Coturnix japonica: one gene and its partner. Each later gene encodes a partner of the first gene's protein in a complex. Links are inferred from orthologs where the notes say so. Each region holds a gene or a part of one and is shown on either strand. Other genes may lie near its edges.

The links. The genes of interacting proteins can lie anywhere in the genome.
Region 2: CPSF3 (region 1) and CPSF4 share a complex: the UniProt entries of both Homo sapiens proteins name them as parts of the cleavage and polyadenylation specificity factor (CPSF) complex. The link is inferred for Coturnix japonica from reciprocal best matches to the Homo sapiens genes CPSF3 and CPSF4.

Annotation. Positions count from the first base shown.
Region 1 is NC_029518.1:87,816,013-87,819,522, reverse strand, and holds the end of CPSF3 (cleavage and polyadenylation specificity factor subunit 3), read right to left. Parts: coding exon 3,439-3,510; intron 2,839-3,438; coding exon 2,730-2,838; intron 2,382-2,729; coding exon 2,283-2,381; intron 1,739-2,282; coding exon 1,644-1,738; intron 1,314-1,643; coding exon 1,226-1,313; intron 858-1,225; coding exon 788-857; intron 522-787; coding exon 425-521; intron 348-424; coding exon 243-347; 3' UTR 144-242; downstream 1-143. UniProt on the Homo sapiens protein: Component of the cleavage and polyadenylation specificity factor (CPSF) complex that plays a key role in pre-mRNA 3'-end formation, recognizing the AAUAAA signal sequence and interacting with poly(A) polymerase and other factors to bring about cleavage and poly(A) addition.
Region 2 is NC_029529.1:4,430,400-4,434,607, reverse strand, and holds the start of CPSF4 (cleavage and polyadenylation specificity factor subunit 4), read right to left. Parts: upstream 2,809-4,208; 5' UTR 2,698-2,808; coding exon 2,595-2,697; intron 1,283-2,594; coding exon 1,232-1,282; intron 843-1,231; coding exon 690-842; intron 1-689. Other genes in the region: pentatricopeptide repeat-containing protein 1, mitochondrial, read left to right, coding at 2,809-3,395, 4,146-4,208. UniProt on the Homo sapiens protein: Component of the cleavage and polyadenylation specificity factor (CPSF) complex that play a key role in pre-mRNA 3'-end formation, recognizing the AAUAAA signal sequence and interacting with poly(A) polymerase and other factors to bring about cleavage and poly(A) addition.

The DNA of each region.
Region 1 (3,510 bases):
CAGGGAAGGCTACAGCCTTAAAGGGCTCCGGAAGGAGATGTGAGGGAACCGCACTTTATTATGATCCACAAGCACTAATGCAGATGACACGGGTAACACTGCACACCCATTCTTTGAGCTTAGTTTCCCACTCATATAACGCATTTGAGTTGCTGATGAAAACGTTTATTCACTTTATAAAAAACAAAAAGTCCAAGTTTGAACGTTACAAGCTTTTTGTATGTGTCCTACGTATCTACAGGTCAGCAGTACACGGGGCTGAGGGCGTCGTACAGCCTCTGTGCAGCCAGTTCCACCATCTCTCGCAGGGATTCATCGTCCTCACTGCCTGGCTCGCAGTCAGCCGTCTGAGAGCACAAAATAAGCATGTGAGAACAAGCACAGCACACACAGGTAAATAACTCCCAGTGCTTCATGTACGTACCCGAGTTTCCAGTGAGAGGTTTGCAGTTTTGCCATCTACGGTGACACACAGAATGGAGCCTTCCTTGGAACTCACACAGTCCTCTCCAAACATATCCCTGGAACAAAGGTTGGCTCACATCAGGTAACTGCCAAACAGCAAACACATTTCCTCTCCATTAACCTTAGGCTTCCAAAGGCCCTGGATTTGAAGTCTCAATGACACCGAGAGCTTTTTCAGGGTACCTCAATCTTTACTTAACTCCAGGCCTACACAGAAGCGTCAATACATTAACTCTACCTTTAAGTGGTACTGTAATAAAACTACTCTATATACACAAATAATGGTGATCGCTTTCATTTAGAAAAAGATCCACTGACTTACTGAAGCATCATTTCCACTCTCTTGCGATACTCTTCCGTGTCTACTTTTGTGGAAACTTTCTGCACTGCAGCTGGAAAGAAAAAGTCATTTTACTTTCATCTACTTCAAAGTGGGAGAAATCCCCGCGACTCGTTTCTAATCCCTCTGTTTTCTTTAGCTGTAGTGAAGTACATCACACAGTGTGGGAGAGGACAGAGAACAGCATAAAACTGAACACCAAACGCCAACTAGAAACTGATAGATAAGACATGTGCACATGCTGCAAATAATGCAAAGCTGTACATGTAATTCTGTGTTTAAGGAACATAAAACTCTTGAGAAGTTCCCTGAGGTGAAGCACAGCAGCAGGAAATCCATTTTAAGGCGTTCTAAAACTCCTGAAGCCTGATGTCCAAAATTCAGCAGTAAACCTCCATTGAAGAAGCATGTGCTACCTACCTTTCTGTATCTTGGGATTCGACTGAACTTCCAGTATCACTGTGGTCACGGTGTCTGCATACATGTCATTGGCAGGATTGGCCACCCACTGGAAGATGGACAAAACAGAAATCAAATCCCAGATTTCAGCCTGTTGTTGGGGCTGAATAAATAACACAACATAAAACAGCACTCATGGCCCTCTTGGAGTGTCACTGTACTCACTGTAGCCACTGAGTCACTGCAAGAGAAGAAACTGGCTGAGTGAAATAACATGCATCAACACAGCAGCATGGCCAAAGGCAACTTCTCCTCTTCACTCTGCTCATGATCCATCAGAAAGCTACTTAAAACAGTTCACTGTGCTCAGCATCTACATGATACTATTCTACAGGATCTGGAGAATGAAAATAGTTGTTTCCCCCCACCCAGTGCCTACCTCGAGGACTACCATGCCTGGTTCCTGGATTACAGTAATACTTTTGAAGACCTTCAGGGCTGGTTTCTGTTGGATTTCTATTTCCTCTACATCACCTAAGAAGCAGCGACAAATGGTTAGTGAGAATAAAATGACACTGAGAACAGGACTAACTGTATCTGCGTGGCTTTCTGAGTGTGCAGTATTGGCCATTGCACTTGCTTTGGATTCTCATAGCTCGTGGGGAGGAACAGAACATGTCGTCTGACACAAGGAAAGAATTCTTTTGTCTTAGTTTTATTAAATAGATGCCATTAAGCGTTCTGCTTTGGGGCTGGAGATAAAGGCTGATCACTTGCTAAATTTTCCATCGGGGTGGCTGAGCTGCTCACTTTGGGGCTGACAGGAGACAAAAAGCAGCTGAGGTTCAACATTGCTGTATGCTCATGGATTTGTATTACAGTTATATTAGGATGCCCACACAGGGTTTGTCACACTCGTGAGATGGATGTGGCAGAAGCTGCACTACATAACGAGAGCTGTAAGACACAAACCAAACTGTGGCACTGCAGAGCAAAGAAGTTCCCACTCAGAAGGTCCCTCCAAAGACTGTAAGTTGATTTAAGAACAAATCACAAACATTTCTTTCTGAATACACACCCGTAAGCTTCTGCAGCTGATAAAAGAGCAGATTGAAAGGGCCGGTATATGGAATGGCCAGTGTCTGTGTCACAGTGCTCATAGCCAAGTCCGTATAATCTGAAAGAATTGTTAAAAGAATGTCTTAACAACAGTTTACTTTAAAAGCTTTAAGTTTGCTTTCTAAAACAATCAGGTTGTCAGCACAGAGAAACAACGGCACCAAAACAATGAAGGCAGAGGGTGCAAAAGGACCGATTGTGAAGAATGGAAATCCTTGATTCTCACACCAACAGCCCAGAAATGTAGGCAAAACTACGCCAAACTGACACCAATGGACACGCGTCCAATGATTTCCTCCAACACAAAGTAACAAACAAGCATCCAAAAGCCAACACTGCACATAATGACAGAGAAGGACACAGAGAGTTTCAATGATCCACTAAGTAAGTTACCGCCTTCACTTACTGGAGAGGTCACACGGAGAAAGGATGTGATAGTTAAAATTCCTTTTGACCAGGATTCCAGAAATTCTCTGTCCTTGCTCCGGCTTCTTATCTGCTAAAGAGCCCATCACCTGAAAAGGAGGAGAACACAGCTAATGTAACATTATTTTTAAGCTGTTTTTTGAAATCATTTTACTAGATGCACCGCATTCATGCCTACAGACCTCCCTCTGCTAGAGCACCCTGTTTACAAGCTGTCTCACTGATTGAAGTATCTAAAGACAGCAGCTCTAAACGCCTGATTACAGTCAAGCATGTAATTATTTAATTCAGCCAAAGTAATTATTCTCCTCTAGTATATACGGATGGATTGCGTGTTTGACAGCATCTTCCTGAAATGTAAATGAAGCCTATCATATTATTTATGCACAAAGCGCAGTGCTCCAACATGACTGGAATTGATATTCTTTGTTAGGAGAAAATTGATGAGCGCTGTTCAGATCACACAGCAAACAGACTGGGATGACTGGACTGAAAACACCAGCAGGTTATGGGTAGCAGAATAGATCTACGTTAGCTAAACAAAAACATTCATATATGTTGTGACCTTGTAAAACACATGCAATCCAAACCCAATTTACCTTAGAGGCTTGGAAGAGAACATACAACTTAGTTTCATAGGATTAAAAACAAGTGTCATTGTATGGAGATGAAAATACTTGATTTCATACCTTGGCAAGCTTTTCTCCTCTGAAGTTTAACGTCACAGCTTCAGTATTCCTCGGATTATGAACTTCTATATG
Region 2 (4,208 bases), on another chromosome or scaffold:
CATTCATAAGTTCAGGCACAACGGTCTTATTGCCTGACTTAACCTAGAGGATGAACACCAAGCACTCACCCCTAGTGAGTGAACTTCTACCAGACTGGATTATTTATGTGTGCTTTTAAAAACAATGCAGAAACTGATTTTTGGAAGAGAGTCATGATAACAAAAACCAAACATTTAGTGCACCAAAAGTGTGGAGAAACTACAAATTGCACACTAACCTCAATCCAAGGAAACCTACAAGACTGTAAGTTTCTGACAGCAAGTTGCCTCATTATGTCCAGATCTCCAGAGCTGGAAAGCAAGTGCATAAAAGTTTTGCACCCCCATGCCCTCTGCTGCTCATCAACTCCCCAAAACAAGAGTCATGCAAAGACCAACTGCTCAGCCTACTCAACTCATACTAAAAAAGAGAACATAAAGCACAAAACCCAGTAACAATGTGAACTTCCTCCCTCTTCCCCAACATGACAAGCTCTTGAGAGAGGAAACATCTACAACACATGGCGAATTTAGGGGAATAAAAAGATAAAAGAGCTAAGCAGACCTGAAAAACTACAATGGAACAGTGTCAGCAGACATGGAAGAACTGAAATATTCTGAGGATGGAATAAGAAGGATGTACCAGGATCTTCTTCACCAGACTCCCACGCTTGCAAGGAACACTACGTAGGAGCTACAATGTTTCTTACCGAATTTGGAGTAGAAGTAACACTCAGGCATCTTGGTCATGTCATACTCGTGCAGAAACTCACACTGGTCTCCCTTTTTGCATAGTCCTCGTAGCCAGTGTTTGCAAACGACAGTCTTTTCCCCACTGATGTGTCTGAATGGGCACATACCTCCTGCACAAGGATGAGGCAAGGGAAATGAAAAAGAGGAACAATTAAACTCTGCAGTACAAGCAGGAACACAGCAACAGCAGCGCTTCACTCGCCTCTACAAGAGAGGTTTCAGAAGAACTCAGTTTTTCCTTATGACTTCAGTTCTTAATGGTAACGATAAACAAGGACATCCAGACAAGTCCTGTTTTACCCTCTAATGAGCTGAGCACTGTAGTCTCCATGTCTAAATCCCAGCAGCCGCAACCCATAGACACTAAAACAGCCACATCCACAGCAAACCCCACACAATTTGTGGAGTTAACAAAAGCCATGATTAACATAGAACGTGCCAGCAAATCTATTTCTCCTCCCTGCAATACGAGTGTAAGTGTACTGGAAATACAACTTGCCTTTCCCGCATGCTGCTTTTAAAAAGAATTCACAGACAGCTGCACCTGATTCTGTGGAAAGAAGAAACAAAATAAACGTTAACAAACTTTAGTAGGAGCTTCCAAAGTATTTTCTGCCTGAAGAAACGACTGAGTCCTCAAATTCAAAAGAGAAACAGCATTTTGGTTTGAGGAATTTACATCCCTGCATGAATTCTTTGTTCAGTTCTGGCCTTCACAAATGTCTGTATTCTCCTCAATGAATACACAGCAGGGAAATTTGCAGTTCTGTTTATAGCCTTTCAGACTTCAGGTTGGGCAATGACTATTAAACCACTTGCTGTAGTGAAACATGTTTATAGCCCTGGCTCTCAAAGTCTTTTCTGCAGATCAGCCTGACCCAGTTGTTGCTGCGTTATCCCTCACTGACCTACAGGAATCACAGCACTCAAGGGAGCAATGTGAGGTCAGCAGCACTGACACAGAACGTCAGCAAACTGTTGAGTCTCCCAGGACTACTTGCATCAGTGGACAGGTTGAAGACCCCTATGATGACCAAGTCCAACCAGCCCATTCTCACCACATTGACCATGTCCTTCTGGAGTTGTAGGGAATGATGTGGCCTCCCCTGACTCCCCCATCTCCAGACTAATGCAGGAAAGTGCTCAGATCCCAGACTGTGAACACACCTACACCTTCCCTGCCACCAAAACACCTCACCTATCAAAAGGGCAATCAAACAACAGCGTGGGACAGCAGTGTTTATTCACATGAACGCCTCAACTTTCCTTCCATCCCAGCACGGCACAAACTACGGCTACAGACACACAGCACCCGGCCCAAGGCAGCACCTCAGGGCAGCAGGAGCTGAGGGGACACGAGGAGCCCAGCACAGGGCACGGAACAGCCCCATCCCCACCACCACAGAATCACAGAATGACCCGGGTTGGAAGGGACCTCAAGGATCATGTAGTTCCAACCCCCCTGCCTGGCAGGGCCACCAAACATACACCTTTACTACATCAGGTTGCCCAGGGCCCCGTCCAACCTGGCCTTGAACACCTCCAAGGACGGGGCATCCACAACCTCCCTGGGCAGCCTGTTCCAGGGCCTAACCACTCTCCTAGTGAAGAACTTCCCCGTAACATCCAACCTAAATCTTCCCTCTTTTAACTTAAAACCATTTCCCCGTGTCCTGCTATTGTCAGCCCTTTCCAAGAGTTTACTCCCCTCCTGGCACTAAGTTCCCTTCAGGTACTGAAGGGCTGCACTGAGGTCACCCCACAACCTTCTCTCTAGGCTGATCCCTTCTCTAGGCTCCATCCTTGTCCCACCACCCCGGCTCAGGGATAGAGGTTATGCCGCGCCCGGCGCCCACACGCACTGTCCATGCCGGGAAAGGGCAGCGGCTGCGCCCCCAGCTGCTGCTCCACCGCCAGCTCCAGGTCGAACTTGATGTGGTCCACGCTGGCGATGAGCTCCTGCATGGTTGCAGCCGGGGGGCGACGGCACCGGGTGGGAAGGGGTGGAATGGTTGGGGCCGGCTGTGGCCAGGCCCGGCCCGGCCTGGCCCGACCCAGCCTGCTTCTCTTCGGCAGCGCCTCAACACTCAATGGGGCCGCGCGCGACCCGCGCCGCGCCGCCCGCCCGTCCCGGAGGATGCCGGGAAAACACCTCCGGCTCCGGCCGCCGCTTTGAACACGCCTCTTCCTGCCGCGCATGCGCCGTGGCGCTACGGTGGCCGCGAGGGGGCGGGGCGGTGTGTGCGCCGCGCTTCGCGATGCGGCCTGCACGGCTCCTCCTCAGCCTCCAGCCCGTCCCTTGGCGGTGCTGCCGGGCCGCTGCTCCGCTTCCCTCCGCCTTGTTCCGGTACCTCAGGCCCAGCTTCCCTTCACTGCGTGGCCTGAGGGCGCTGAGCTCGTCGCAGCCGCCCCCTGAGGTGCGCGGTGCTGAAGGCGAAGCTGGTGATGATGATGATGATGATGATGATGAAGGTGTGGAGTTCGGGACGCTGTCTGCTAAGTTCTCCCATAGGAAATATTACCACAAAACCACGGCGGTGTTTCGGAACTTGAAGCTTGAAGAGGATGGGGAGGAAGAAGGGGAGAGGAGGCTGTGGTACGGCCGCAGGAACACGCCGTACTGGTATTTCCTAAGGTGCAAGGCCCTCATCAAGGAGGACAAGGTGGGATTTGGGGGTTATAGTAACGTTTGGTGCTTGTGAACGAGCACTTTGCTGTTAGGATTAGAATGGTTCGCTTGGGAGGGGCTTGAAGTGATCATCAGGTCCCTTTGGCCTTTAACTGAGGTTAAAGTTGCCTTTAAAGTTGCTACTCCTGCCTCCTGTTATAGCTGTCTGTCTGCACTCAGCACTTTTGAAGCCATGCCTCAAGTACTTGTTGTTCAGTTTTGGACCATTCGCTACTAAAAAGATGTGGAGGCCCAGGAGTGTGTCCAGAGAATGGCAATAAAACCATGAGCATAAGTCTTATGGGAAGCAGTTCAAGGTCTGAGGAGACCTCATTGCTTCCTGCTCTCTGAAAAGAAGTTGTGGTGTGGTGGGAGTTGGCCTCTGATCCAGGTAGCAGTGATAGGATGTGAGGTGATGGCCTCAAGTTGTGCCGGGGAGGTTCAGGTTGGATACTAGGAAACATACTTGGAACGAGTGGTAATGTGTTGGAACAGACTGCCCAGGAAGGTGGTGGAGTCGCCATCCTTGGAGGTGTTTGAGAACTGTGGAAATGTGGCACTGAAGGACTGACAGATCAGACTTGATGATCTTAGAGGTCTTTTCCAACTCATTATCATCATTATTAAAAGAAGGAAAACAAGAATTTATGAGGAATTCTGTGCTCTGTAGGATTTCTGACTACAGCTAAGGCTATTCATTGTAACTGAATTGTTGCTTCATAAAACATTTTCCTTTTCTCTGTAGCTGGCAGAGGCCCTGGAGCTGTTTGAGGTGCAGATGCTGAAGGAAGAGCGAGTAAAGCCAGAA